Linked DNA regions of Lepisosteus oculatus. The protein of the gene in region 2 interacts with the protein of the main gene of each other region in a pairwise test. Links are inferred from orthologs where the notes say so. Each region holds a gene or a part of one and is shown on either strand. Other genes may lie near its edges. The genes, in order: rras2 and ral guanine nucleotide dissociation stimulator.

What was found.
Region 1: the proteins of ral guanine nucleotide dissociation stimulator (region 2) and rras2 interact in a two-hybrid assay, tested with the Homo sapiens proteins (2 studies listed by BioGRID and IntAct). The link is inferred for Lepisosteus oculatus from reciprocal best matches to the Homo sapiens genes RALGDS and RRAS2.

Annotation. Positions count from the first base shown.
Region 1 is NC_090716.1:10,232,248-10,248,556, reverse strand, and holds the start of rras2 (ras-related protein R-Ras2), read left to right. Parts: upstream 1-10,101; 5' UTR 10,102-10,381; coding exon 10,382-10,483; intron 10,484-16,309. UniProt on the Homo sapiens protein: GTP-binding protein with GTPase activity, involved in the regulation of MAPK signaling pathway and thereby controlling multiple cellular processes. Regulates craniofacial development.
Region 2 is NC_090719.1:15,003,457-15,019,791, forward strand, and holds the start of ral guanine nucleotide dissociation stimulator, read right to left. Parts: upstream 5,837-16,335; 5' UTR 5,656-5,836; coding exon 5,470-5,655; intron 1-5,469. UniProt on the Homo sapiens protein: Functions as a guanine nucleotide exchange factor (GEF) activating either RalA or RalB GTPases and plays an important role in intracellular transport. Interacts and acts as an effector molecule for R-Ras, H-Ras, K-Ras, and Rap.

The DNA.
Region 1 (16,309 bases), on a different chromosome or scaffold from region 2:
TATTTAATAGACAGGAATTATAGAGAATAATCTAACTTCTTGATATACCATGTCTTGAGTTGCAGTTGTTCTTCATACAGATATACACACACAGGCACAGATATACATATTTGTTTTGTACAGGTACAAATAAAGTTTTCTGTTATTCTTAAGTACCTTGGTAGTTTTTTTTAGATGTTAAAGAATACTTTAAATTTCAATGTGGGATGTTTTTTGAAGAAATGCCAATGAAAACTAGTAATACTAAAACTCAACAGGAATGTGACCCAGGCAAGTGTAAATCTAACAAACTTTCCCATTGTTAAATTTGCTGAGCTGTTCAGGGAGGCTATGGTTCTAGAAGTTAACTAGGGAATCAGACTTAATTGAAATTCCTGGAATTCCTATCTCTCTGTGTTACAGTGTGGGAGTCAATTGGAATCTACTCATTCAACAATCCAAAAAGTAATCTTTGAGCAACAGCCCAGACTCCAGGGGGAAAATTAAACCTATAAACAGATTTTTCAATGATGTAACACCCACCTATGCTCTATAAATAATTTAGTTTCAGAATTCGGCAGAAATTTTAAGAAGAAATGTTCTTTGTGACTGAACTATCTGTCGTATAGGATTCTTGCAGATAAAATTCAAACCTGTTTCAGGCGAAAAAACAAAAACAAACATCTTTAACATACAGTATAGCACTCTTTTCAAAATAATCTACCTACTCACCGCTATTGTGTTTTACCATTCAGTATCAAGGCAATCATTTTTAAAGCAAGCACAGAATACAATAGTGATTCCTGTGAAGAACAGTAATAATTAGTATTCTGTAAAGCACATCTGAACCTTTCCAGATACTTTCACAAAATTTATATCTGAAATAAAATACAAACTAGAGAACTTAAGCAAGACACTACAGGTAACAAGTAAATATAAAAGTTAAACAACAAGTGAAATTTATAGGCCACCTAATGCAGGCAAAGACACAGATATCTTTCAAATAAATATATCCTTTTTTATAAAGTAGATCCATCAGTATTGGATTATTGTAGTAAAACTGATTGAAGTTTTACAAAAGCTTAGACAAGAATATCCACAGACTGGAACCAGGAAAGTAATGACCAATGAGTCTTCCTTCTTTTACTGGTTAACCTATAGGAACAACAGCTATAGTTATATTAGAAGAAGACTGTACTTTCACAATTACGGCGTTTTAAGAGACTGCCTAATGGGATTTAAAGGAAGGCTTTGTTAATGTAATTTATTAAAATGATTTAAATGAGCCACAAGGACAGTTAATCACACCAGAGCACACGACATAACAAAATTAGATTTCTAGATAGCTTTTGCCAAGGGCCTTCATAAAAGGTTCATTTTATAAACCAGAAACTTTAGGAATCCAAGACGATGAATGAAAATAGGACAACAACTGCTTAATAAACAGGAACTTGCATGTAGTTTTAAGGCTTATGCTCTAATTGGGCACTTATAAGCAGTAAGTGCCCTGCGATGGACATCCAGGGTCCCATCCAGGGTTTATCTTGACTTGCACCTGTTACTTACCAGGTTAGGCTCCAACTTTGCCTCAATGCTGAATTGGATTGTGATCAGAAGAGATCAGAAAATGGATGGAAACAGTAGGTACTACAAGCATCTGTTACAGGCCTGTTGCAGATCTTGATCTATATCAATGATTTCATTTCTGGCAGAATTAACAAGCTATTTAAATTTGCATGTGATACAAAAATGAATCTCACACAAACAGCAGCAAGGAATAACAAAAAGGCAGACCAAAAAAAGAGGAACCTGGCAAATTTAAAACAAATTTAATGCTGAGATGTGCAAAGTAATCTATGCATCATGTCAGAACATATACTGTACAAACTGTATTGCATTGGTGAATCTGAGCTGTAGGAAGTAACACATGAAACCAATCTGGGTGGTTATATGGATTCTATGTCCTTATCAAGACAATGTAGGGAAGCAATGAAAAACAAACAGAATGCTTGGGTGTACAGCAGAAAGCAGCAGAAGTTATGCTCTCACTTTACCATGCTACAGTAAGTCCTAATTTAGAATAGTGCTTGGTTTTTAGTCATCATACCAAAAAAAGGATATTCTAGTCTTAGTGTTCAATGAAGAGCAACAAGAAAGACTCCTTGTTTTAGGAGATTGACATGATAAAGGAGCTAAACATCTGCATAAAACAAAGGAGATTGAGAGATTTGATCCACATATATAAAATTGTAAAGGGTATAGGTTTGCCCCAGAGGATCATTTCACATTCTGCAGTGAAAGAAGAACATAGGGTCGCAGTTGGAACCTAAAAGGCAATTTACGGGATATAGAACAGAGAATAGGAAACTTTTTTTAAAAAAAAACCTGCGACTATCTGCAACACTCCCAGCCAGGTGGCTGAAGCCTGAACTCTGGGCTCATTCAAGGCTGAACTACTAGAGGAGGAAGATGGACTGAATGGCTTCCTCCCATTTACAAACCTTTCTTATGTAAAATCTGACCTTCATAAACCCATGAGGCACTGGAAACTTCCTTACAGCATTATAGCAGCATGAGCGAGCCCTTCACAGCTGTAATGTGTAAAAGTGGGCATCAGTGTGAGACTCTAACAAAAGCAGAAATCCTTTAAGCGGTAAAAACTGGCGACATTAAAGACCATACATGGCTCATTTAGCTCATCCTGGGCATTTTGGGACAGATTCTGCCACAGATTGTGCTTGCAGTTCTGTCATATGATTATGCTGCCAGTACAAATATGTAGCGTTGATAATGGTATATTATTACATGTCAAAAACCTGTACAGCAATATTACACTTTTGTTCAAAGCAGTTTAACACTTTTTTTAACATGTAATTTTTGATATCCATTTATACAGTCTGCCTTGCTGGAGCAATTTGGGTAACATGCCTTTTTCTAGGATAATAGCAGTGTCCCCACCCAGGGTTGGAACCCAGAGCTCTGACCACATTCCTTGACATGCATGATGCGGTATGTGTTTCAGTTTGATTTTGTTCACTAATTTGTTGTTATTGAAGCTAACATTTTATTTCAGTACAATCCTTATATTCAGTCTTTAATGCTCAGAGGTTTCCCGTTAGCTACTGAACTGGTTTTAATAGCAGATGTAATTTTAACAATTGTAGGGCTACTGTGGTATGTTCAAAATTGCATGAACCACATACTTAAAATACCCCCTTTTAAATACGAGAGAGGAAGATTTAGTGATAGTTCTAATAAATAATAAATTTGAAAGATGAGAATTAATGGAACCTTAGATGTTTTAAAGAACAACATTTAAGAAGGAATAGTTTATATGGAATAACTAATAACTTTATTATATGAAAATATTTTACATACTGTAAGTAGAATAAAACTTCAGTGAGTACTTTGCACAGAGCTAGGCTCTTTACCATTTTCTGCACAGTGTTAGACTTTACACCATTATTGAAATGCTTCAGCAGGCACTCAGTCAGAGCCACTCTTGAAGCCTGTAGTTTATACTGCATTAAAACAGTATGACTATTTGCACTTTGACAGTATTGGCTGCAAGAACAAGGTAAAATAATACACCAATAATTGCGAAGCCTGCAGTGTAATGGGGGTTGGTGTGGAAGTTGAGGCTTCAAAGAAAGATCAGAATTTCTCTGCTACTGTACTATATATCAGACTTCTTAATAAAATAAACAAAAAAAAGGAAACCAAAATAATCTGATTATGCATTTTGGGCTGCTTTTCTTGACCGCATGAAGATCATAGTAAAGGTCAATGTTGTACATCCAGTATAGCGAGTGTGAATTTGTGGGTGCCAAGTCTTCTCCGGCCAAGAAAATAATAAACTAGAGGCCAAAGACTTTTGGAAGCAGAGCTTATTTTTAATGTGAGAAAGTGGAATGAATTTAATGACTAATTAATACAAATCTGTTAAAAACAGAAAGAATCTACATTATAGTGTTTTCACGAGTGCAGAGTTTTAATCAGTGATGAGAAAAGTGGTGATCATGAATGTCAGAGCAATAAAGGTCTCTAGATTAATGTTTATTTATAAGAGGCATTCAAAACATTTTGAAACTCCAGAACTTAAGACACTGACCATTGCTCTGTTCTACAGGACATATACTTACATTTCCCTCTTATCTTCATATCCATGTTGTCATCTGTGCAAGAATTTTGCTGTTTTTTCCAGAGTGATTGAATGATAGACTTTTCAAAACCCAAGCAATTATTTTCATAAACCCTGGCACCTCAAAAATGTCTTGACAACAGCAGAAGGCAAACAAAAAGTACCAGAAAAAATGTGCACCAGCACCAGTTTGTCATTGGTAGTGCAACAGAAGTGATAAACACCATGATGTCTTATCGGAGGAAGCAGCTCATCTCTGATTGATGCCACTGTAAGCCTGCACACTCATGACCTAATCTAATATCTAATGACCAATTTAGCCTAGTGGCGCTTTGCCCCTTGTGCACGACTGCTTGGAGAATCCTCATCACAATCGGCTAATGACTCCATTGAAGCCCAAATCTGCTCTGTCTGGCCCATAGAGCCCAACCTGTCCTTTGATCATACATCTATATTAGATTAAATGATCCACTTGGGATCAATATCAGACAATCAATTTAATAGCAGGCAATCATCAACAAATACCTCAAAATGGTTGTTTCAGAGCTCTGTCTAGCATAGAAACCATTGCTTTTGGAGAAATAGATGATTTAAGATAGCTGGAAAGTCATCACCTGCCCAAAACCTTTACCCAGGTAAAGACGATTTGGAATACTTGGATACAGTTCCCAGACTTATTATGGATTTTTTGGGTAAGGGGCAAACAATTGATTTTGTGAGGTTATTAGAGACTATTTCTCATAAAATTGTACGGTCAAAGATCAAACAGAAAGCTCATGCTAGCACGCGAGTACACTTTTAACAAACTGTAGCTGGTAAAGAATCCAGTACACCCTCACTAACAAAATAAGATCCTAAAATCATCAAGCCTATCAGTATGCAAATCCAGGGAAGGAAGAAAGAGTCAATTCCATTTGATCTAGTCTGATTGTCAGCCAACAACAAAGAGAGTTTTATATACAGTTCCTAGGAATGTAGTACTGACTGTCTAATTGAGAAAAGAATATCCAGGATAAATTACTTCTTCGCTCGCTACATCAGTGCCACAGCTAGAAGTCAGCATTACAGTTTTTATTTAAAATCTGGTTTGTTGAGTGCTTGAATCATTGGTCACAGATTATGGTGACCATTATTGATTAACTCAGCGTAAAAATTAAAGCTAGTTAAAATTGAATTTTTGAGTACTCCTGCCTAATTTCAAGGTAAATTAGTGATAAAGCTTTTCCAGCCGTTTGCCAGATTTTCTCCAAGCCTTTTCAAGTAGGTAGCCCTTCCTTTTTGAAATGCTAAAAATTCCAGTGCAAAACAATATGTTTTATATGAGCAACATAATTTTCAAAGGAGCATGCAGATACAGAACATTTATCAATATCACATTATATTGCTCAATGTGAAAATCAAGGGAGAGACTACCAGAGGCCTCTGAAGCCTCCGCAGACTAATGACATCTGAAGGATCTCTGTCTACTTGAGCGTTTAATTGCTGGTCTTAAATTAGATTTGAGCAATTACTAGTTTATGCCACAGAGATTAAGGAAAGAAAAAGACATTGGTTTTATTTCTGCTTTTATATTAAGATAATTTAGTATTATTCTTATTATATTGCTCCCGGTGTTTGTCTGTTTTTTTGCAGCTTTTTACAGGAATAGTTTTTTTATTTGGTAAGTTTCAATTCTTCTTTGACAAAGTAATGTAATATGTCATAAGAAGAAAAGTGCTGAAAATATTCTGCTTTGCAAAAGTCTTAGACATTTTGCGCTATTCTACACTTTTCATTCAATGTTCTTCCATTTTAAACAGATATACAATTTGGGGGTAATTTACTGAAGTATTTGCAAATTGTTTAAAGCTAACAACTAATATTGATCATTTTTTGTTGTAGTGAGGTTTTGGAGAAATAACCTAATGATATCAATAATGAGCAACATATGATAAATTTTAAATTACATTTGATTGCTGTATTGCTACTATAGCACTTCATACTAGTTGCTTTTACATAGTTTAAATTGAGTTGTTATAATCGAGTTTTCTGAGATTCTCATCAACGTGAAATTCAAAATGACTTCTAAATAACAGACTTATCAATAACAAATTGTTATCAAATTGTTATGATAGTCAAAAACACTAGTGGAGGCCTTTATTTTTTGCAATAATATATTGTACAGTAGCTCCTGATTCTGTGTAACATAAGACCCTTACACTGCAGTTTATATTTCCATAAAGATATGAGGTAAAACGGTATTTTGTGCTTATCAAATGACCAATTCTCAAATTATCCTGCTATCGTACGGTATTATTTTTAATTTTGTGGATACCGATGAAGAAGAACTCAAAATACTTAAACAGCTGGCCGGCTGACTTTTTGGGAGACTTGTTTTTCCAAACATTTTACAACAGTTCACAGCACAGGCTTGGAAACAGTGGTTTTGACTTCCCTGTCAACCCCCAAGTGACACAACTTAGCCAAGAGTGAACAACCACAAACAACACATGCATAACCATCAAGACCTCCTTCTTTAAGTTTATATTTAGAGTTTTAGGAAACCTGAAATATAAAAGATCTCTGCCAATAACACAAAAAGGGTGAAATAGAGCATTTGTACGATTCACATTTTAACCAGAACTGTAGCCTGCCAAATTGTCACTTACAAGTGTCCAGTTCGCTAACCAGAGATAACATTTTCAAATCATAAACAGACATTCTGGCACCCACAAGCTGTTGCTAATTTTGACTCCTTGATTCATGTGAACAAATGTTTCACAGATGACCATTCCCATAAACGTCCCTTGGTAATTTCACAATCATGGATATAGATGCTAATACTTCTTTGGCAACAATACAGGCAAAATATATCATGATTAGAACATATGAATGAATAATAACTAGTAAGTATTAGCAGTGCAAATCACATGGATTACAGCAGTGCCTAAAATTCCAGTTGTATTCCTTATGATCCAACTTTGAAATTATAATTGTGTCACTTGTGACATAATACAATTTCCTAATTAAAAGAGACATTCCGCTTATCCCTAAAATGATCAAGTATGAACGGATAAACATATAAAGTTTGTAAATTCAATTAAACTGTTTAGATAACCGGGATTATTACTATTTAGATCATTCAGATCAAAAACATAACTAGATCGGGGAAGTAAGTTTTTGTTGTGACATAATTACATCATTAAACACATTTTCGGAAAAAGGAGCCTGAACATTACAGGTTGGTTAACTGAATATAATGAATTAGTATTGCTGTAACAGTTGATCACACATTGATCAGTGAGTTAAATCACTTTATAGTAAGATTGCCATATAGAACAACAGCCTCCTAAAGCTGGCATTAAGAGCCTTCTACTTAAAACTACTGCTGCCAAAACAATGTTGTTCCCTTTGACAAGCATTTGAAAATATTGCATGTTTTATTTCTGTGGTCTGGCATTGGCAAATAATATAGACTATAGGATAGGGATTTAAGAGAGAAAAAACTCTTTGTCAATATCGTAAAGGGTGATATTCAAGGTTTATCCCTAAACCATGCAGTCTAGTAGCATCATGTCATGATATTGCATTTGTGATGGATCCTGATATCTCTAATCAGGTTTTTGTATGTTCCGTAATGCTGTATTGCATTTGCAACTATAACTGTTTGCTGTGCAGAAACTATTCTTTACATGGTGCTCTCAGATGTGACAATACTATAACTGGCTCATCAACACACATGGCTGATCAGTCCTGGATTGATTGCTTCCTGTCGTTGAGTCATGCTGAAGGATCCAAGTGATGATGGACAGGTGGTCAACGAATAACTTCAAGGTCCTGTAACTTTACCAGAGCACATTCTTTCTCTCTTTTACTGAGTCATGCCTGAGTTAAGTGCCGTTCAAACTGAACTGTGTACCTTCTTCTGTAAGCAAACGTCACCTTTGCAGATCCAAACACACTCGTAAACTCAACCGACTGTCACAGGGTTTATTTTTTATAGTCCGGAGGTTATGAGGAGTAGAGAAGGAGTATGTGAGTTCTACTATCTATGGCGATATAACAACTACTCCTACTATCATACTCGAACAAATTTTAAAAAAAAGTAATATACCCCTGAAGTAATTCAGTATAGAGGCATGTTTCTCTTGATAAACAATGATACTATAGAGATATTCGTTTTTCCATACAGACAATAAACTAATTTGAGATTAGAAACATATCTAAACATTTCTAAACAATTTGTCATGTGACGTGGTTTCAGTTTTTACTGAGGGAATCCTTTCCAAGTGAACATGTTTTTTTTCTCTTCTGGAAGCTTAATTCCATTTGATTTGAACGAATGATCATATTCAGATGGCGTGGATTAACCTCATATGCAAAACACACAATTCTGAAGGTTTTGTTAACTTCAGAAATTAGATACTATAATTTCATTCCTTCCAAACTGTAATAAATAACTCAGGCACTGCAAACAATTAGAGTTGTCGAGTTATTAGCGTTATAAATGTGACTTCAAAAGAGTCTTCTTATAAGAGAAACATACTGAGCAGTTTTGTTAGATATTTCTGCAAATACAATTACAATCAGAAAGTCAGCTGAGCTTTGGTCGAAAGTTATTTCTAAAGAAATGAATGAAGATAGAAATAATAAAGGATTCATGTACTCTACTTGCTACAGGCAAAACACCAACATGATTTACCTTTGAATGTTTTTATAAAGTCATAACCATTAGACACTCCCATGGAAAGAAAATGTCAGTCTTTCAATTTCATTTTCTCTGCTCTAATGTAGAAGTGTGGCTATAATAACGAGCTCACACTTTCATATTGTCAGTGCTTTATATTTTAAAATATGTGTTGCCATTCTACATGGCAGATTTTATCAACATCATACATGAAAGTGAGAAAGGACGTGTTTATGTTACTTTCATTAAGTGTGTTATTTTTTGTATTTTGCATTTTTTTCTTGTTCTACTCTGAAAACCAAGGGAATTCCGGTCCACAATGCATTTTTCAAAGACCCCAGTAATCAGTTATTTTATAGAACACATTTTAACAGTGAATATTATCTCTCTTACAGAGATTCCAATGAGGTAATAGTCAGGTTTCAAAAAGTAATTTACACAAATACATTTACAAGATAACCTCTAATTTATCACTTGCTTATACTTTCATACAGTGTTTCAGACACTGCTATATTTATTACCGAAAAGCACTTGAAGATGATTTTTCTCTGCTTTGAAATACGATTGTCATTGTAGTACTGTTGGAAATTAAGTGGTATATTTGTGTTAATCATGTTTTGCTGACGGGTATACATCACCCATTGCCTACCTTTTTGCAGCTGAGAAATTAATATTTTTTCTAGCAACTTTAAATGCAGTTTGTTCACTTTGTAATGTGGGGATATTTAATCCTTCCAAAAATGTGGAAGGTCAGTGTGTCTAAAGGTTTTTTAGGTCTCGTTAAAGCAACAGTACCTGAAAAGCTCTTTACTCTTTACAAAGTTTGTCTTTGTTACATTAAACTGCTTACCCAAATATTTATAGAGAATACTGTTCGGTTTCTTTTATTTTGTTATGTTCAAGAACCACTGTTAAACTGCTCATTTTGTTAGGCATACCCATTTCAAAATCCAGACACAAGCTAACAAAATTCAGTTCAAAACATTTAAATGTTTACATTTTTAACTTTTACAATGTTTTATAGTGAAAACGCTTGGGAATTTTAAATCGAACAGATCGTCTAAGGACTGTATTCCTGTTTTACAATATGTCCCATAGTTAAATGAGAATTAAAACATCATTTTTCATAGAAGTAAAGAATACTTATAGCAGAATGCGCCTGACAGAACTGCTGAAGGCTGCTTGTAGCATCGTGCGAAAATACAACCTCACAAAAGGCATGTAACTTTTGATTTATTTTTTACGTCCACTTCATACATATTCATAGCTATATCTTCGCTGAAGAAGGGCCCCTAGCGACGGCCATTTGTAGTAACTGATTCACTCCTCTGTTCCACATTTCAGTGCAGCGCTGCAGTTGGTAGCGTTTTCACAGGAGGGCGTATGAGCTGGCCGGACCGACGCATTACAGTGTGCACTTTTTTCCTTGAAAGACAGAAAATTAACTCTCTCTCCATCACACGGATTACGGCTCTTTTTAAAAGAACAATAACACAGCCGCAGCCGCCTTATTTCCCCCCGAAACATTCCTGCAGCCAGCAGGCCTGTCAAGAAGTGGGTGTCTGTTCACAGGCGAGGAAGGCTGTGTTTCCCCGATGGCTGGCTGGAAAGACGGCTCGGTGCAGGAGAAGTACCGGCTCGTTGTGGTGGGAGGCGGTGGTGTCGGCAAGTCAGCTTTAACTATCCAGTTCATCCAGGTCAGTAAACCCGGTGTCTTAAGGCGTTGCTATTTTCGAGGGGAGCCTTATGGAGGAAGAGGCGGGGGGTCGTTGCATTGAGTAAGGGGGCTCCTACTTGCGGAAAAGGGGGGTCTGACCTGTTATTACGGTGGCTTAGGCCTGCAGAGCACCTATAAAATGATATTTCCCCCCCACCAGAATTGCTGGTTTTAAGGGGGCAAATGAAAGTTTCGGGGTTGAGGAGTAGTACCCACCCGCATGCAGCCGGAGGAGACGCTGTAGTTTCAGTGCAAACGGACAATGAAGGTGTGGACTTCGATTCCTCAGCCATGAATGACTTTGAAGTTGGTTTCATCTACTTTAGCGCTTTAGAGTTAAATTGCGGTTAAGTTCTTTTTTTAATAAGTAAGGTTAAGAATGACATTAGGTTTTTCTGGGGGACGTCATCTAAGATAAGGCTTCAGTGCGTGTGTTTTTAAAGATTCGAGATGAGTCCCTTCGCCTCCTAAATAGGTGTAGTTTAGGAGTATAACTGATTTAAGTCGTAGGTCACAGCTCCTTCCCCTGACTTGAGCAGCTCCCCTTTCAAAAAAAAAAAGTTTTTGAAGTGGTTTACGCATTCAGGTAATAGATTTCTACTCGCATGGCTTAAGTGCTACGTTTGCCCTGATATAAAAGTTCCTCTCAGTAGTTTGTAATTACTTTTCTTTCCAAAGGGAGCTGAGTAAACAATCAGAGTAACAGGGCGGATCGTTTTTTTTGTTCAGGGATCTTAAACATTTGGAAGAAAAAAAGAAAACATTTGCCCTGCGGTGTTACTTCTTATGTAAACGTTTTTAAAAGAAACAACGCCTTCACAATCGAGATGTTAGTTTTTGTTTGATCTCTCAGTCTTGTCGATACTTCGGGGAAAAAACAATGTACTGAACAAGACGCTGGGGTGTATCGTCTATAGAAAGTGCAAATACGCGAGTTTGTGTGATAGCCGAGAAAGTAAAAATAACTTTAATGCGCAGTTACAAAGGGCTGTAATAGTAGGAATATGCACATAGCTGAAAATAAAAAAAAAACTGGAAGCTGGAGCGGAGTTGAAATAAAAAAAAATATATTTTCGCTTACTAATCCACCCGTGTTGTCTTTTTAAATCGACACATTTCTTTCTATCTAGATGTCCAGATTTTCAATCTATAATCGTTCGAGCCACACCCGCTTTTGAATGTTTTTAACACAAGGCTACCAGAAAGAGTTTTGCTACTTTTGACTGGAGCTGAAGCCTGTGTATATGAATACTTTAAATTTAAAATGTAAAAAGTAATTGTTTGAATAATGCCGCATTTGAATAGAGCTCTTTTATAAAGCTCAATGCAAATGTGTAAATGTTCCGTATATTAATGACTTAAAGATTTTATTCCTGAATATGCGTGAAATCAGCATGTCAGTGGTATACTCTGTGGATCTTTATTTGTAATAACGGCATTTTGTTATAAAACACCTGAATATCTGGCATAGTTTAGGATGCTGTTCTTTTTCCAATAACCCATCACCCAAGGTCTGCAGTAACAAGTTAGTTGTGGCAGAACAAAGTGAAAGGCAGTGGTAGTTATGAAACAGCTGTCATAGAAACAGCTTTTCTTCAGTTGTCATTCCTCGCCTTGGCACAGATACACTAAATTCCAACTGATAGCCACTTGTCCCCCGCTTAAAGAAACATTTTTTTATCACAAAGCATCTGACTTCCCTTTCTTAATTTACAAGGTAAATCAAAGCAATATTGTTTAGGAAATGATAGGAAGTTTTTTAAAAGAACTTTTAGACTAATGCTTTTAGACCGTTTTCTGCTTTGAATTTAATATAAATGTGCCAATCAAAAAAGAAATCCTGTGCATTGATTGGCTGGAAAGCCGGTGTTTGAATTACTGATCTCTGTTCACTGACAAAAATGACTCCATTATCTTTTAACCAGAAGGTGGTTACTGCACATTCAAGTGTTTTTTTTTTATTTTGAGATCACTGGAATGCTAAGCTCATCTAACTCTCAAGTTTAATCAGGCTACATGTCCTAAATGTATAAAATGGAATGTGTTCAAAATAGTTTAGCAGCATAGCAGTGAAATACTAATGCTTTTGGTGGAATCTCTAGTCTTGTTTTTCTGAGAACAGGTAGACCCCTTGTCCTGTTGTTCTGTTTGTTTCCAATTTATAAGATAGGCAAAAGCCCATTATTGTTCTTTCATGGACATTAGTAGGGTTGGGTTACAGACTTGTGGTTGGTCCTAATAAACCTTTTTCAGTCTGATGAGACACTATCAGAGCTATGCTTGAAGTGTTGTTGCAGAATGTATAACACACTGACCATATGCTGGATTTCCAGACTTATTTTTATATTATGTTTGACTTTAGATATGCTGGTACTTTATTTTTTAGCTCTACAATCCTGAAGCTGTTATCTGCTCCCTTTGAAAAGCATAGTTAATGTCTAATAGGGCTGGGAAATGAGGAGTGTTTTGTGTTTTTTCAGTCTGCTATGTGTAATATCCAGACTGAGACTGTGTTTGTAGACTGTAGATGTATTCTGTTGGATTGCTTAGTAGGACTCTAGTCACATTGCAGTTGGCATAACTACATCACTGCCACTTTCTGTGAAGACGTCCGTACAAACTTGCTGAGTTATTCAAACCATTCAGCAGAAATTTTGCCCATTACTTATAACAACTTGTTTGATAGTAGTGGTTTCTTTTAGAGTGGACACAAAAAGTAGGAGGCTGTATTCATACCAAATAAAATAATGTGTCAAAAGAGTCGTTTGTTTTCTTGCTCTGTACACAATCTTACAGGTTATTTAGGTTTTAGACATTTCATTTTCTTGAATATTAAAATGTATGGTTTTATTTTGTTTTATAAACACGCTGTTTGCAGTGAATGTTAAAAAAATGTTCACTAATTAGCTTGTTTGAGGTTTTTATTTATTTTATTGTAGATTTAAAAAAAATAAGCATAAGGTACACACTAAGAAAACAAACATCTTATAGATTGTAACAGTGAGGCAGTGGAAGATGAACAACAACTTGAAGAACACTGAGAAACAAATCGCTCAGCTGTCTATATGTCTTCCAAGCAATTCTGTCGCAGAGGACAAATGGTTATGCACAGCATTTATTGTTTCAAGTATTCTGCCGACTTATTGGTATTGGACAATATCCAAGCGTCTTAAAGTGAGAACTAATTCATTCCTCAAGATATGGTACATATTTGTGAGAAACACTAAACCAAAAACATGGACATTTAAACACTGAAATAGAAAGCCATCTGCACTAGAAAGTAAAAATAATGTTTTACAAATTAAAAATTAGTACCACCACGAGTGTCACTTCAGCAACCTTTATGAAACCTATTGATTTGTCATTGCAATGAAGGGATACAATTCACCACAAAGATAGCGCACTCTGTTGTATTTACAACTGACTGGTATCACTGATAAAGGACAGGACAAATAGAATACCAATTTATACTTTCTAATCCATTGTTGTTCTTAGGGCAAGGGAATCACATCATAATTCATTCATTATAGGAATGGATCAGTTGGTTCCACGTATTGATAAATCATGCAATTCAAAAAAGAGAATTAATGATGCATTGCCAAATGATATCTACATAGAGATAAGTCAAATCAAGCAAATTAAGATTTAACTATGGAACACTTCTGTTTTATTTTGTTAAAATCAGGATGAAGAATAAGTTTTTATCAGGCTGTACATGTATCATTGCACCAGATATGTGGAGGTCAGTATACACAGTATTTCTGCACTTGGATTTTGTCAGTTGATGAGGTTGGGAATGTAGCTTGGGCCTGGAATCAGCTACTGTATGTTGTGATGTTCATAGTGGTTATTTGGAGAACACGTCCAAATTCCAGTGATATTTTTCTTGCGAGCTTGTTGTGAATAATTTATTTTTAAGCTACGAGTAGAAAGAGAAACGGTGAGCTCTGTTGTTTGATTGTATTTAGACAGCAAACAAAAAAAATATGAACAGGAATACTGGGTAGGAGGCAGCTAGACATTCTATAGCTTTTCAGTCCTTGTTGTTTCCTTTGTAAATTCATTACCAAGCAGCGAGAGCAAGTGGTAGAATTGAATAATGCACTTATGTCATCACTATCTGTTACCACAAATAAACTGGTTCAGAGGCAGTAAATTCTCACTGCCGTGCCCTTAAGGTCTACTGACTAGTGTAGGAACTACATTAATCTAACCTTGAGAAAAATCAGTGTTTTTTCTGTAGTTACCATTTTGAAACATTTCTTATGTGTTGAATTGCATTTGGTTATCTCAATGAAAGCATCATGTATTGAAAACTATGTAGCTGGTGTTATCTTACCTGTTTTGGGATTGTACTTGGTATATAAATTATTTTTAGATGTGTGTTTAAAGAAATAATTCTTATTTGTCACTATACTTGATTACAATTTTGTACGAGAAATTAAACAGAGAAGTACATGAAAGTTTGTGGCATGTAAATAACCTGTTTTGAAAGGAATAGTTGTGGTTGTTTGGTTATAGTGTACACAGAATGCTAATGTATTTAACATGTTACTGATGAATAAGATTTTAATGTAATTTATTTGTAGCATGTATTGTCCTTTCTCTCATTTAATTAGTAATTCCATTCCTCTGAAACAGCACTTATTCTGGGAGAATCATGAACTGCACATTTATAGTAAAGCAATGCATAAAGATATTCTCAATTCTTGTGCTGATAGTAAAAGAGCTGAGCTTAATAAGCTTAGCAGCTTTTAATTAACCTTTTGAAGACCATGTGAACACATATCCCCTGTCCTTTAAGGTACAGTGGGCTTCCATGATGTCATGATGATTACGTGCTTGTAAAAACGACATTAAAATCTAAATAATGTTTCTGAAAACAGTTGCAGGAACTTCTATTCTTCACACATAAATCGGTTAACACATTGTCCTTCAGAAAATAATGAGAGCATTATTCTGAGTCATGTATGCTTGATGGGAGAAAACTGGAATTATAGTCTTGGAAATGGGGATTCATCGTTACATTTGTTCTCCAGTGGTTTCTTTGATAAGCTTATAGGAGGGGAAGTATGAGTCACAATGTGACTCGGAGTACCTATGGGATGTTATCTTTGCTAAGCATTAGTATTGAAGTGAAGGGGCAGACATTAGGCAATGACAAAGTCAAGAGACTGGACTTCAGGAAGCCAGGGGAGTGTTGAGTGAGATGTTAGCTTTTTCCAAATGAACAAAATTTCCCTTTTATATTATTATTCTGTGATGAGATTATATTTTCCATCATAAAAATGTTTAAAACAAAAATTCCATACTTGCAAGCAAATTTCATTCTTTTTCCCCTGTATCTTATTTATTGTAGTTTTTGCTTTGTTTGCATAGTAACGTGAAATGCATGTAATTACTAAATGGGCTAAAGCAAAGATCAAGCTCTTTCTCTGTGTCCTTTCGGCTTTATCTGAAGATCAGTATGTCACTCCATATTCCTGTATCGGCCCCGAACTCATGGAGATGTTACCCCGCCTAGTTGCTCTTGCAGATTGTTCATTACGTCAGACTCGTAAATGATCTCTTCAACCCAGACCAACAAGTCTCCAAGGGGAGTGTCACAGAGGGATGCCATGTGTCCAGTAAATGTCAGCCGGGTGACTCAGCTTGTGAATGAGAAAGGTAACAAATCATTTGGGATTAAAATAACTCCCAGGTGGAACATTACAAACAGAATTCAAAAGAATATTATATTTCCTTGTGTCAGGCACATCTTCACATTTGTTTTCCCCAATGTCATAATATAGGCCAAACCTGTTGT
Region 2 (16,335 bases):
CGCAGCTGAGCTCGCCCAACACTGGGGCTGGGACAGCTACAAAGGCTTCCGAGGCATTTTCAAAACAGAAGGCAAACCTCTGAAGCCACTTTAGGCTTGACATGCTTTTCCTTCTTTTTTTAAAACAGTCCAAGCTGTGATTTCACCCACACGGCCTCCACAGCTGCGACCTGACGGGGATGCAGTTAGGGCGTGCTTCGCTGTCACACGTCTGCAAGACCGATCCTGAACAGCGGCCGGGCTTTAAATCTGGACCGAAATTTTAAATGTTTCGTCTCTGCTTTCCTGGGGCAAACGGGTCTCTTCAAGAGTTGCAAAACTACTGTGGAAAGATAGTGATTGCTATGTAACGGACAACCTTTAAACCTCCGACTTAACAGTAAAAATCCTGATTAATGCAACAGATACCAGAAAGCCTTCCAAGAAGCCCTCAGCTCCATCACTGAGTCACGCTGCCTTGAATGAATCAGGCAGAGCTGATTACACAAGAGCTGCTCTGGGACAGAGAAAAGGCATTTCCAGTTCAGACAGCGAAGCACACATGGTTCTCTCCTTGCGCCTGTCATTCTCTCTGTGCAGGAATCTGCAAAACTAATAAACAGTCTGCAAAACGAGAATGCCGGCGGCGTGCAGCTCTCGCCGAGAAAAGAAACACAACAAAATCGCAAAAAAAAGTGCTTCCCATTCCTCGCATTCCCAGGGGGTGAACCAGATGTTTACCCCCAAAATCCCGAGACCGTAAATCAGCGCCCACGCAGCCTGATGTCAGCAGCCAGGGGCTGAGGCTGCAGAAAAACACAATAACTGCAGAAACGAAAACAAGATGTGGCACTAAAAATAGTCCCACTGAACAGAGCAGAGCCCCCCGAAGATCAGCTCTGTGTGGTCGTAATAGAAAGGCCACAAAAGAGTCTCTGTCTTCGCAGATTAGCCTGCTTTCTAATTACGGCACCGTGGCAGGCTTCTGACCGGAGTAGTTTGCATAAAAATACAGAAAGAGAAAACAAAACTTGGATGAGTAATTTGGAAAAAGCTTTAATGGGAGGAAATGGAAAAACTCTGGAATTTTGTTGCAGAAGTCAGCAAAGCGAGACTCCTAGGGGGGCGTATGCCGTTTGAAAAAAATGAGAAAATAAAAACCACGTCCTTCCTTCTGCAGAGCCGAGTTTTGCTGCAGAAAGCTTTGCTGCCTAACCCTTTGACCCAATTAGCTCTGAGCTTCGCCACCTCATTGAATAACAACACAAGCTGTTGCTTGCAAGCCGAGAGCAGCGGGCACAGCCCAGTACTGTATGCGATCTAGCTTCTAACAGTCACAGTTAGCAGCTCTACACTTCTGCTTGCATTCATAAAGCAAGCACGTTGAGTGTGTGTCAAAGGAACAAGCCTTCAACCTCCTGTTTTGAAATAAGCTGGGCTTCTCATATTGTCCTGTCCTACAGAAGATCAGAAGACTCGCGGAATGACTGGTCTGTGGCGCGCAGTCACTGAACAATCTGCAAATGCAAAACGCCTACAAAAACAAGGGGCAAGTTTCTCTGTCACTTGTGGTGCAAATCAGAGGGGTATGAAAATGTAGGAGGAAGGGCTAAGCAGCAGAACTGTCTGCGATGTGATATCGCCCTCTAAAAGAATCGAGGGATCGATCGAATTGTCCTCTGTGCACCACATCCAGGCACAGACATCTCCTCGGAGTCAACCATGAGCGAGCGCCCCCAGTGCAGAACTCGGCCGATGAGCTAGTGACTTTCCCCTCCCCCCAGGCTGCGATGCGATATCTTCTCCCAGCAGAAGAACACATGTTCAGTCCCGCATCTGATCTGGGATACAGTATCGGCTTCTCAAAAAGCCTGAAACACGAGCAGCGATCAATGCAGGCAGAAGGACCATTCACAACCCCACCCCCCCTCTCCAGCTCTGCACAGCCTCAACCTACCACGTCACCTGTGAGCAAGACGCGGATTGGAATTCAGCTCAGAAACGTCTCGCAGGCGAGCAAAGACCTTCGTGACACATTTTGTCTCAAAAGCCTCTTGGCATAAAGCTCATGCAATCGCAGCCGAAGTTCCGCAGTCGTTCGGAATATTAAGACAACTAGCTGTGTTAAACAAAGGAATATCTGCAAGTCAGGAAGGAAAACAAATCCTCTGCTCGGCGCAGGAAATCCTTGCATCCAATTTGGAGGACTGTCAGGTGATGAGTTCTGGAAAGAGCTGAGGACCAACGCCACAACACTGAAGGACAAAGGGATCTGAGAAGATTCATATCTGAAGTGGCCGATTAAGAAAATACACTCTGGAAATGGGTAGGAGGGAGAGTAAATACAGCTGTATCACTCGGGAATCTTCCCCTCCTGGAACATGCCGGAGGAACACTCACCCACTGCAGTCTGGAGCACTCTTTGATGAGCAGATGCAGAATGCACTAGAAAAAGTTTTGGATTACTGCACCTTGAAGTGAGAATGCAGATTAGCCTGAATTTGACAATGGGATTAGAGGCGAGGGGATTAGAGGCCATCGTAATGGTCAGAGAACACAGTCACTGTACACGCAGTGGGAAGAGCCCGCCCTGTGTGGGGCATGCACAGTGGTCAGGCGGCCCCGTTTCTAACAAGCTTTTTTTTTTTAACTCTGTGACTCTTTGACAAAATGAAGCCGGAGCCATAGAAAGATTTGTATTTTGTTTTGCTTTGGGTTTTGGGTCGAAAGCAGAAAAAAAAAAAACAGACCGAAAATCTCCAAAAGCTGTTCAACTGTGCATTAAGGCCACTCTCGTGGGCGTTCTCCACTGATGAAAGAGAGTACACTGCTGGGGCAAATTCTCCAGCTGCTCCTCACTAGGACAGACGCTCAAGGCTCATGTAAGAAGCTCACTCAATACAGGGAAAATATAAAGCCAAAATGTACCAAACCAGTCGCATAAACAGAGACAGAACATAAACCTTTCAGAATTAAATTAAAATGAATAACAGCCATAACCATTGATTAGCTTGAACAACAGAAGCCCATTAGACGATGTGCTTGATGGTCAATAATAAGGCCTGTCTTTGCTCCTATTGCCCGTGTCCTCCTTTTATCTTAAAAGCTTTTTACATAATACAGAAGCAAATTAGATTATTTATTCACTTCTCTTATTAGAGAATATAGATTTTTGCCGAGTGTCCCTTGTATCAAAGGGACTAGGCAGTACAAAAATGCATCCTTCAAACACAGACAAAATGACCACTCCTGATCTGAAATCCCCACGTGCTGAATGAGTATGAATAGGATATGTCAACATCGTTGAGGGTCACAAAGTGCATTTGTTTCCCCATAAAGAGAGAGATGTAGGGGTCAATTAGTTCAAAGAGACCAAATACAGACTGTATTATGTTTGATGAAAAGATTCACTTGTTTTTCCACTCCATGCATAGAAACAAAATGAAACAGAGGAGCACTGACAACTGTATTTTAAGAAGAAATTAAATGTAATATTTCTAATAGGTGTAAGAGGTTTATATTTATAACAATGAGGGTCATTGGAGGTGGAATTAAAAATATGTGCAGCCTTGTAGATGTAGACCTTTCTTTGCGGACAAATGATGAGATTTGAACCCTCACAGGTGGCTCACAGGTATCCCTGGCAGAAATCAGCAGCACGACAATGGCAAACCTGCTATCAGCGCCAAGATAAAAGCAGGATAGTCAAGTGAACTATTCCTAGATTTTTCAAGGGGTGTCACTACATTGCCCATTCAAAGAGAATCCAATCATCTTTTTTCAGTGGAGTTTTTTGATTGGTTTTCTTCAGATCTGCCAGGCAGCCACCAGGATCACAGGATCTCCTTCACTGTTAATCCATGTTCAACACGACAGTTAATAAAAGGCTTTTGCAAAGAGATTAGGGCGCAACATTGCTCAGAAATATCTGAAGGGGCACACAGGCCAGGTCACGCATTAACTCTTGACTGCCACTCAAAGACAATGGCTTGTAAAAAATTACCCTGCTGCACAATGAAGTGTAAAGTGGCAAGAGAACTCCAGCCCCTTGAATCTAATCACCACGATGACTAAAAAACCAGGCCTTTTTCCAATATTTTGCCTTTTGAATTACTGCAGAGCCCCCAGAATACTGAATTGGATCACTGCAAGGCAATCCGAGTGGGTGAATTAGTCATCGGACAATCGGACACTGCGAGGCTGGGATGGGGGCAGCTGACAGAGGAAGACAGTGTCCGAAACCTGCAGCCCCAGAGAGGGAGACGGCACCGGCACTCCTAGTGCCACACATGGGAATTAGCAACAGCCCCACAATGAAGCAACACAACCGCTGAATAGTGAGGTTTAAAATTTAATTCAATCAGAGAGCTAGGTGACCAGGATAACATTGCGTCAAAGTCAAAGATGCATTGCAAGGACAACGCGCCCGACTGCTGGGTAAACTCTCCTTCTGTATCGGTCTCTACCATCCCATTCAGGGTCATGGGGGGCCGGAGCCCACCCCAGCAAGAAACAGGCACCAAGCAGGGCGCACCCTGGGTGAGGTGCGCAGTGTCCGTTCCCTACCTCTCTTGCAAATCAAAACCACAATGACACCAGGATATCCAATCAGATATCCTGAAGTTCAGTCCAGAACAGGCTGCGCTGTTTCCCTTCAAGACTAGAGCACTACAATACACACCGAACTCCTCGCCAGTGTCTAGCAGCTGCACGACTGTACTGACGGAAGAAACTCGTGTCACATTCCACCATGCTTCCGAAGACAGTTTGAGGGAGCACCGGCACTTCTAGTAAAACTGGGAGTAAACTTCCCAGCTCGTTGGAAGTCCCAGTTATGTCCTCTGTTGCCATGTCCTTTTAATAAGCCTGCCTGGTGATCACGTTACACAGCAATGTACAGTGCTGCACTCGTCTCGAGTACATATTTATCCTCTGACAATCACGGAAACGTCTGAGAGGAAAAAAACGCATTTTCTACCCGAAACGGAAACACGTCTCAATAGGAGCAGAACACCTCATACTAACATTTCTGAGCCTCTGACATTGCAGCCACATCGGACTTTGGGCAAGGGCACGGTGTGCTGTACACTGTACCGACCCCAGGCGCGACCCACAGATTCCCCGACACCGGTTTATTACCCCGCATTACTCCAGAGCCGTGCCAGCAAAGGGGCGAGAAAGCCTTCGTATTTACAAACACTGTGGGGGTCGCTGTGGGTGATAAAGACACAACACTAACCCCCCCAGCGCAAAGCTCCTCTCTCACGCAGAGCCACAGCTCACGGGATTCAATTTTCCGAGAACCCCGCCTGCCTGGCTTCTCCAGCACAGATCAAACCCACAGCTCGTAAATGTAGTATGCAATTCGCCGTAGCCCTCGTTAAAATAAAAAAAAAACAACCCAGAATCTCAAGCAATCTGTTACTGAGCGATGTTGAGCGGCGCCAGCTCTCACGGAGCACACCTCCCAGGGAGGTCGGAGCGCTTTACCTCCGGCTGGGGCAGGTCGGGGTCCAGCTGAGTGAAGCTGTGCAGCACCACGGGGCTGGCCTCGCCGGCCACCTCCAGCTTCACCCCGTCCCAGATGCTGCGTATCCTCCAGGCGCTGGCATCAAACATCATATCGGGGCTCCCCGAGCAGACGCTGTGCACCTCGGACTGCATCAGGTACACCATTGGTGACGGGGATCCCGCTACACCGGAGAAGACCCGAGACTGCGCGCCCTCTGCTTCATGTCCGACGGGGCTGGGTGTCCGCGAAAGCCGTAGTCCTGTCTCGGACGGACGGGGGCGTCTAAAAGAGCATTGCTGCGCTTGTTGCTTCTCTCGCCTCTGTAGTTCTTGCTCGGCTGCTACTTTCTAGCGCTGGCCCCGCCCCGCCCCCTCCCGAGCGGAGGCCCCGCCCCGTCCCCGCCCCCTCCTCCCTCCCCCCGGCCCGGCAGAGGATCCATGACGTCATTCTCGACCCGAGCAGACGACAAGTTCCGAGCGAAGCGGGGGGGGGGAGAGAGAGAGAGGAAAGAGCCATTTCTCATGAGCTGGACCCTGGTGCAAAGGGAATGGTGTCGCTGCTAAACGTGGTCGAACCCGTCCCATCCCATTTACTCTAAAACAAAAAAACGGGGCAGCGCGTCGTTTTCTAGCAGTTCGGGCACGAAAGCGTGAATGGGCTCTCCTCTCGGGACCCAGCGACGCGGTGTTTTCTGTTGACCGTATAAACAGTGGGAAGTACTGTGGCCGAAGCTTCTGGATAATTATGGTCTCCACTAAACCCTCCCCTGAGCTTTCTTTCCGTGACACGCGTTTCTCCGAAGTGCGGGGGATCTGTTTTTCTCCTCCGTGGCCGTGGGTGGTGCCAGAAACGGAAGGTCGTTGTCTGCAGAACTGGGGTCTCTTCGGGATAACGCATCTCAGCCAGGCAGCTCCTTCAAACCGGTCAAAGACCCGTTTAAAACGAGCTATACAGCAGCACGGGCTGTTCCTCGCCTTTAACTGTGCTGCATCACAAGTGCTTGCACATTTCTTATTTATGAGGGATTACTCCAGTGACATAATCTGGGCGCACTGAAAACAGCCCTGAGTTTATTACCTGTGTTGAAACTCTGTGTGCTGGAAGTATCGACTGATTTGGGAAAAGGGATTAGGTCTGGAGAGGAGATGATCCTTGTTTTTTCGGGGGGGGGGTGGGATGCAAGATTAATGGCTTTTACTCGGAATTGCAGGTTCCCGTGTTGGAGTCGTTCTCTCTACGAATGCAGAATTGCCTTTTCTGGGCTTTTTCAATGCCAGCAACTCTAGCTTTGATTAGCATGTCTCTGTGCTGGGAATCTGAAACGTGGCTTTCTGGCGGCATCTAATCCAACACCCACCACGTACAACAGAAGGGAAAGCTAAGATCAGAGCAGGTTTTAATCACGTGCGCGCTTTCTTTATTTTAACAATCGCAGGGGTGCGATTTCCCATCCTGCTCCTGCACTGGGGCCAAACTGGGGTCTGAGTGTTTTACACTGAACCCATAAGGGGCAATGAAGCTTCATTTGACCCAGCGGGCAGTCTTCTGAAATGCAGAAGAAAAAAAAAACCGCAACTGCAGACAACATATGCACATGGGACTCGGAAGAGAACAGGGAGGGCGAGGGACAAAACACCCGCACTCCAATAAGCAGCACCCCCGTGTCCAGCGGCTGCTGTTATCACCTGCGCCCTTGTCCAGGGACACCCGGTGGGAGTCTGGAACAAGCTACCCGCCCGTGTTTTTGAAGCTGATTATCTGTGTTTTTTTTTCACTTACTGTTTGGATGATCCTGGGATCAGTCTGGCTTGTAACCAGTGAATGTTCTACCTCCATGGCAAGCTGACGCACCAGCTTCAGCTACAGGGCAATGAATGGGCATTTCGGCTGCTAGTGTCCACAGCTCATATACAGTAGACCCAGGGGTTGACTGGAGATGACCCGTCAGCTTTTAAGAATAGCTGGATATTGTGGGTATAGTCATTCTCTGGTCATTGTTCTGTATAAAGTCACACTGTGGTCACGAGGGGTTAGCAGGATGCTTTGTCTCCTTTACATCACGATGAAAGGACTCTCTTATAAATAAAATAAATCTGTTTCTTTCCCAATGACCTTATTTACAAGACACTAATAATGTTGATATTGTAAGTCGCGTTTCCTCCATCTACCCACTACAGTACTGAACTGGAATCAACCTGCTCATTTTGGGATTTGTGTGGAGCTTGCATGTTCTCCTCATGTTCATGTAGGGTTTCCTTTCTGGGTGCTCCGGTGTCTTTCTACAGTCCAAAAACTGGTGGGTTCATTGGCTTCTGGGGAAACTAGCCCTGGGGCGAGTGTGTGTGTGTGTCTGCGTGTGCCCTGTGATGGACTGGCGTCCCGTCCACAGTGTACCCTGCCTTGTGTCTGTTGCTTCCTGATAAGTCTCTGGCTCTCTGTGACTCTGAATGGGATAAGTGGTTACTGAAAGTGATGTGATGTGAAAAACAGAGTCACAATTTTTGAAGGCAGGTCTTCCTCAGTTCAATATTCTGAGGTGGGTAGAACATATACGTTTTACTGGTGCCAGTGATGTTCTTTGCAGTTCTCAAAATATTCTGGCAAAATGTAAGTTTTTATTTAAGACCTTATTTGAGAGACAGTAGTAACACCTCTTCCAGCAGCAGCCTCAGCTCTCCCAGTAGGTCTCCCCTCCAGGTACTGGCCAGGCTCTCACTGCTGGGCTTCAGCGGGCTGCCAGCTGGGAGCTGCGGGGCCACAGGGCTGCCAGATGGGGTCACCAAGCTCACTGCCAGTCACAGTCAGCTCGAGACACAACAAAGACAGGAACTAGAGATCTGTAGACCACGGGGCCCAGTCCACACGCTTAAACTGGAACCAAAAACGGGGGCTCCGTTATTCCACACCCCCAGAAGATGTGCACCCCTCCGTTTCTTCCGAATCCGGCTCCAGTGGGTGGAGGTGAACATCTGTGGAGGAGAAAGGCAGCCCCACGTGTGCAGCTGCTGTAACTTGATTTCTAAGACGGTTTTGCTAATTTGGTGGTATTCTGCCCCTCTCCCGAGGAGGAAGTAGTGAGGGGGAGATTAGTGCACCGTGACGGCAGGCACTCGGCGAACTCTACAGCAGCTGCTCCGCGGAAACGCAGCTGCACAGACTGTACCGGCTCCTGCCACCAGCCTCGTCCCCATCCTCCTTCCCTGTCTTTTTGCCTTAAATCTCTCCAAGATTGACTCGATGTTTAAAGTGTCATCAATATCCTGCTCTTCATACTTGAAAACAAGTTTCTACTAAACACTACTGCTTTGGAAACATCAATTTCCGTGAACGCTTAGTGTTTCCTTTTGATTGTTCTTGTTCTTGTTCTTGTTCTCAGGTCTTGTATCATTTCACAGCAGGGCAGACGATCGCATTGCTGCCTCTTCTTACTGGGTGTGTGCGTTACAGTATTTCAGCCTTTCACGCTGTGGGTCCGGTGGCGTCAGGGCCCTTCCTTGCAAATATTTCCTTCTCTCCTCACGAGCCCTCTTGTTCCTGGAGCAGTGCTTGGAAACCCCAGAGCCGCGGGGGAGCGCCGCAGTGGCCCACAGTGTCGTCGGGCAGGCGAGAGTGTTTCCGTTTCTGGGACAGAGACTGCCCGAGGGCCTGAGCCCCAGCACTCCTCTCCGGCTGCTTCCTGATGCCAGAGGCTGCGGCAGGAACACTGTACTACTGTACCTCTCACCTCCAGACCAGACCTTCAGGTCTTTGAATCCCACTTCCCATCCACCCTACATTCTTGTTCTGCTCCCTCCTGTCGCGCCAGCTGTGAGTAGAGAAAGCCGCCCCACCTGACTAGACTACAATGCCTTTCTCTGCCAATGGACAGGCACACAGCTGGGCTGCTGTGCTTCTCTGGTGCCCCCAGGAAGCCACGATTAATGGAACACAAGCATGTAACTGGTTTTCTAAAGGATTGCTACTCATAATCCGTATACCTTATATTCATCCAGAGACTACAAAACGAATCTGGCCGTACTTCTCCATCGATCCGTTTTCTAACTGCTTCTTCCAATACAGGGGGGCTGGAGCCCATCCTGGCCAGCAACAAGCACAAGGCTGGACACACCCTGGACAGGACGCCAGTCCATCGCAGGGCACGCGCACACACACACACACACACACACACACACAGACACACTCGCACCAGGGCCAGCTTTCCCAGAAACCAATTCGCCTACCAGCACGTAGGAGGAAAGAGGGCGCCAGCAGGAAAGCCATGTGAACACGGAGACAACATACAAACTCCATGCAGATAGTACCCCAGGAACTGAACCCAGAGCCTCAGTACTGTGAGGCAGCAATGCTACTATTGTGCTACTGTGCTGCCCTACAGCATTTAGGCTTCCTGGAAACCTGTCTTCCATAACACAGATCCTAGCACTGGCTTAATAATCTGCACATTCCTAGACATGCTACACACATAGTCTGAAATTACATTTTCCAAAAAGCTAAGATTCTAATCATGATTAATATTTGCATGCTGTATTGGAACTAGAAATTAAATTCCCCTAAAATATCATTTAGAAGGGAAATGCAATCCTGGAATGAGATCAAGGAAATGGGATCAATATTCTCTATTATTCCCCATCTGCTTAGAAAAGAGGGCTAGGAGAAAAAAAAAAGAGAAGAAATAAAGTATTCTAACATAGAATGGAACAACGACGAGCCATCTACAACACAATTCATACTCCCAGCTTGTTAATACTGGAACGTGACTAGGCACAGGTGCTGTAGAACCCCAGGAAGGAGAAGGGTGATGGGATCACGTGGGGGATGTGGAGCCGCCCCTGTGCTCAGGCACACAGAATGGAATTGGATGGCCACTTAAATCCAGGAGCCACAGAGGAAGAATCGATAAATAACAGGGAAGTGCCCTCAGTATCCCCGTGGCTGACGCCCCTCGTGAAGTCTTATTGCTCTCCGGGGACCTGATTTCATCGGTGCCTGCAGGCGAGAGACACTGCTCCCCGACTCGCAAGCCAGTCTCTGGCACGGCCACACGACGGCTAGCGTTCCCGAATCCCCGCCGCTCCCCACGGGCACGGCGAAGAACCGGGATTCCCGTGGCAAAAGGAACACACCGCTACCAGTGAAGGCTGAGAGAGGAGCCCGAGTTTCAAAGGCCTCAATCCCATAAGGCCGATGGGGATCAGATTCGGAGGAAACCCAGCTCCCCTGTTGCTGTGGCAACCGCTCAAGTCTGCATTTCAAACGGTACTTTCTCCTTCTGTCTCCTCCTGCCTCTACTTTCCACTCGCCTTTCATTCTCCCAATTTCACAGCTGGCTAGGCAGAGGTAGGACGGGGGGGTGAGGTACAGTTCACAAGGTAATGAATTTAAATCTCATCAAATTATTTTTTTATGGCCTGTCTTTTGTGAATATTACACACGGAACAAGCTCAGCCAGATGTCAATAAACTAATCCCCTCTATGTCAATGCTTCCTTAAAAGACTTGTGCTGCTGCAAAACCACCGTGCAGACATGAGGGATTAGCAATCCCAGCTCTATACTGTAAGAAAATAATCGCGTTCGATTCACTGAAGATTTTGATGTCAGCTTTGCCAAGGAAAACCTGCTTTTGAACACCCCAACTCTGGAGCAAGTAAGATCTTCCAGCCTCTGGGCTCACAAGGTTCCATGAAATACCGTCTTAAAAATTACAGGTTCGAGATATGATTAGTTAGTAAAACCATCCACTCCAGGATCTACCTTAAAATCTGTCACTGTTTGGTATCTGATCAACACATAGGATTATCCATCTGTTGCAAAAGGGAGGCACCTGTACTGTTCATGACATCCGACTACATCAGTTCCAGCATCAGTCATCAGCTGTCTTCCTAATTTGTCATTGTATTCCCTGTGGTTTGTCCTCTGCTTCACTGACACGATCCATGTGTGGATATCAATATTAATTCTTAAAAAAACATGGATGCCATCTGGGTAAATAAACCTAAAAGGAAACAGTCCAGTGTGCCAATAAACACGTGTTATCTCGGCCTGGGTAAGGTCATTCTCCTTATCACTGCAAGGAGATTACTGGCACTGATTCCTGTTTCTTCCTGAAAGCAGTGAGTCACGGTTCTGGTATGTTTAAAGCCTGCTTTACCGCTCGTGCCTACAGTTGTGCCACTCAAGACAATGAACTGCAACACGTGTGCAGAAAACTTTCAGTTCGTGCTACAGGTAACTTCCATAACTTCCATATACAATGACAGCAGTGAATGAGGTCATCGATCAGCACTGGAGCTGCAGAGCCCAGCTGTGACGACAACCAGCAGAGACAGTGTCCCTGTAGGACTGGGAACCTCTGGTTTATAGTAATGTCATACCAAATCTACAATCAATGTCATGAAAAAAGTGGAACAATATTCCAATTCATCCATTCATTATCAGAAAGCGTGTTCCTGCGAGATCTGTGACAAACTGAAGCCTGATCCCACACCCCAGACGGGACACACGTGCACACACAGGGTGTTTTTGGGAGATGGGAGGAAGAAAGAGCACCTGGTGAACACCCACAAGAGCACAGGGAGAACATGCAAGCTCCACAGAGAGGGGCCTATTCTGGAATCAAACCCAAGGGCTGTAAGGCAGCAGTAAATGCCACAATTTCAATCAGCACTTGTAAATTTCCGCCTCATTTTTCCTCGAAGTGCAGTGGCACTGAGTTAAAACTACAAGCCTTTATTACCATGGTACATAACTGAACACGATCCATAATTTCAGAATCACAGAAAGCAATGAGGAAACCGTTTGGCTTATACAGTCAAGATCCTGCTTTGAGAATCGTTTGGCTGCAGCACTTTTTGCACAGAATCAAAACCCTGGTCCGGTTTTTCCACTGTTTTTTTTGGCTCGACGCAACAGAAATATCCTGAAAAAATCCCTAACAGTTCCATAGGTTTTTTTCCAGGGGATTCTGCGGAGAGTTACCGGCAGAGCATTTGTTGTGTGCTGGCAGTGATGGGAAACGGACACCCCTTTCTCTGCGCGAGGTGAGGTCATCCCTGTATCTCCCTGCACCTCTTCACGCACAGACAGATGCAGAACTGGGCCCAGGTGAGAGAGCGCCATTTCCCAGCCCTCACTGGGGGGCAATGACTACAAGTCACCCCCCCCCCGACCACCTGGTGCAGAAAATTCCGCTCCCTCCTGTGCTGTTCTATCCTAATAATAGCAAAGAAGCCATCATGAGTCAGATCTCTTATTTTAAGAATGACTGGATACTGGAAAACAGTGCAACACTTCAGTGTAACTGGGCATGCCTGAGTGGTTATCGTATAATTGTGACACTTAACACCGGCAATCATAAACTTTAACTAGATCAATTTATAGTATGGAATATGACCCTGATTGCCTACCCGAGGACTGAAACATCCGCTTAAAACATTCTTTTTGACACCCTACCCCTGTATGGAGACAGTGCCTGCCAGTAAACGGACAGGGGACTGTACACTCTATCAAGAACAGGCACAGAACAGCCGGCACTAGTCCCGTCCTGCAGCTGCTGGCTGGCAGCCATACCACGGAGCCAGGTCTTACTTTTCAGGCACCCAGTGGGATTCTTTTGCTTTTACTGTCTCGGAGCTGGCTATCTAAAAATCAGATTTTACAAAAGGGAACATCCGATGGAATTCCTCGATCCGGTAGTGAAAGAGGCTAATTTTTCCTGTGCCTGCGAGGCGGACGGGACTCTGGGCTCGTTCCTAGCCTGGATCAGTGGGGGGGGTGGGGTGTTTATGCCAGAGAGATCCGCGGAAAAGCATTTCCCTCGATTCAGAAATTGCTGTAATGACAGGATACTCACGGAGACCAGAAGCGAGATGGAAAAGGAGTGGGAGGGTGTAGCATAATGTATTTCATCCCACTCCATGCTTGCAGAAAAGCTCCATTAAGTTCTATTAGTAGTCAGAACACTGATCTAGTCTAGAGAGTTCCAGACACTGAATCACTGAATGAGAGGCCTTCTGTGACTCACTGATCACATTAAAGTGAGCGTGCAGCGGTCTCCAGGGATAGCGTGTGTGATGAGCTCAAACCAGGACATGTGTGTTATCACGTGGGAGAGGGGCTGTCGAACCCGGGTCTCTAGAGGGTCCGTAGAAACCTCTCGAGAAAAAAAAATGATACCCTTAATCAAGAATGAGCCTGGCAGTGAATCAGGTTTTATTCAGGGAGTGCCTTTTTTTTTTACAAACAATGTGTTGGTTTAGAAGCACATCTAGAAGGTGCAAGACAGGAGATTTTATTCCTGTTTGTGAAAAGAGCAACAGCTGGGCAGGCTCCAGACACTGACGACGCTGGTCAAGAGTCTTAGAGGAGACAACCCTGAAAACGCAAAGGTACAGCAGGGTGCACCGCGCAGGAAAAAGACAAACAGTGCCATCTTTTGTTTAGCACTGCTTATTACGTAACAGTGCAGAGCTCGCTCATATGCAACAGGAAAAAACAAAATTCACGCAGACTCCGCTGCAATCTTTCATTTAAGATGAAGGGATCCAATTTCATGAGCTCTCCTCCATGCCATTTCCAAAACCCATCTAGAGATACAAAATACTGAAAATAATCAACCATAAGAAAAAATAATAAAATGATGACGAATAAGCTCGTCAGAAACATCACCCTTTTCCCTTTTACTCCTGCTTACTGTATGTGGAATCGGAGCAGGTCTCCCCGTCAGTGGAGACACACAGTCTGATTAGGCTTTGTGCTGTTCCTAGAAGTATGACATGAGGTGTGCATCTCAAAGAGCAGGGAGGAAGCTACAACAACAAAGTCCCTTTAAGCATCTTTCCAGGCAGATTAAGGCCCTTCCAGCGTCCACTGCCGCATGACCTGTGCTAGCCACCAGAGGGCGCACCACAGCCCTTGAGGGCATGGCTCTGCTACCAAGCCGCTGGCTTTTAACAGCTTCTGAAAAAATAAAAAAATAAAAAGCAAAACATCATCTAGGATGAAACAGAGAGAATATATCTCAGATGACAATGATCAGTATAAAAAGCTTAAAAACACGTGTTTCCGTTTTTAAAATGGACATTTTCTCCGAATTCTGACTTTCCAGTTTCTGAAAAATCTTTTCTCGTCAGCCTCCTGACAGGCTGAGTCTCTGTGGACAGCCTCTTTTGCTGTGTCGTTCCGAAACTGAAACATCTTGATCTATTTTGCTGCCAGTGCAGGGGTGGTATAATGACTTTCTTAACATCACTTATCTCACCTCTCCCACGCACAAACCTCCAGCGTCGAACTGCGTGCGCAGACGCGACACCACGAAAAGGCCAACACAACAATGACTTCACTGCAAATACAAGCTGGAAAGCGCTGTGGCCTTATCGTATCAACGCTGCTCATTTGACGCTCACTTAAATCTGGATCTAGAAACGCACACGGCCTCACACGAGCACAGACTCCCGCAGTGAAGCTCTCCGACCACAAAACCTGGGTCAAAGGTTACCTGCTCCTCAGATGTGGGCTGCAATGGAAATTTTCATTTGAACTCGGTGTTTTTTCAGCGTCGCCGTCAAATAAGGGGGAAACCCTTTCAAACGTGCGTGTAGAGATCAAACTCAGATCAGTGAGCGTCTGGAAAGAAAAGCCTTTCAGTGGAAACACCTTCAAGACCAGAACGACTGCTCAGCCCAGGTTCGGTCAAGACCTCATCCTCATCCCCTTTCCAACAAATTCCAGTCTCTCCTCTGACATCAGCTTGTATATATACTGTATCTACTCCTGCCCAGTGCAACACCTATAACATCTATCTAGGGGCTCGGGGAGATGAGGGGGGACTGGATTAGAAATCAATCTTAAGAGAGGAGGTGTCTCACAGCAGTTATAATTTCAAATAACTGTTTATGGCCACATTCGAGGAGAAACATGAGCCAAGCTGGAGGTGCGACAGGAGAGACTCAGTCACACCCCCTCAGTTCCCAGCCGGAGCTGGTCTGGAGCGAGGCGCCCCAGGCCTCGCAGGAAGTGTCGCTGCCTCTCGCAGGTTTTAATGGGAGCACGGCTATGAATAGACTTTCCGAAGCACGCCTGCCCGGCCGGCCGTGACCTCGGTGTCCGGCCTGAACCGGAGGGCCGCCTGAGGGGACCGGGCAGCCCGGCGGAGAGCAGTGATCCCAGCAGTACCTCCTGGGATCAGGATCAGGATCAAGATCAGCCTGTTACTGGCCGCTCTCTGCTTGGGGGAAGAGCCTCCTGGCTGGTTCCGTCTCGGCAGGCTCTGGAAAGCCTCAGTAATGCCCAGTGGTCTCATGCTTTTTACGTTATGCTATAGAAGTAGAATGAACAGAGTAGCTCTGTATACTTCATCATGAGAACGGGTTACATACTGGGTATTTAGTTATTAAAAGCATATTTATGCAGCTTTGACAACAGGGCTTGTTACAGACACCCACCATACTTTGTGTAAAGAAGTGTTTCCTCCAGTACATGGGCCCTGGCTTCATGGTTCATATTTAAGCATCTCAGTGAATCAGCATCATTGAAACTATTCAGGACTAGAAATAATTGCATCAGGTCCCCTAATTATGTTCAGTAATAACGAGATTATGTTTTTTTTTTAATTTGTCATGCTTTTTACACCTCAAATTAACTCTTGAGCTCTTCCTGATATTGCAATACCCCTTTTTTATTGCATGGCCAGCATAGCATTGTATACAACACAGATTGTATATGCACAATTCCTAACCTTTAAATATAACAAGGAACCTATTCAGGTCAACAGGTTGCTATATCCAATAGTAAATTAGATGATCATTTTGCAGCAAACTGTAGTATCTCTACGGTACAGTGGAAGACA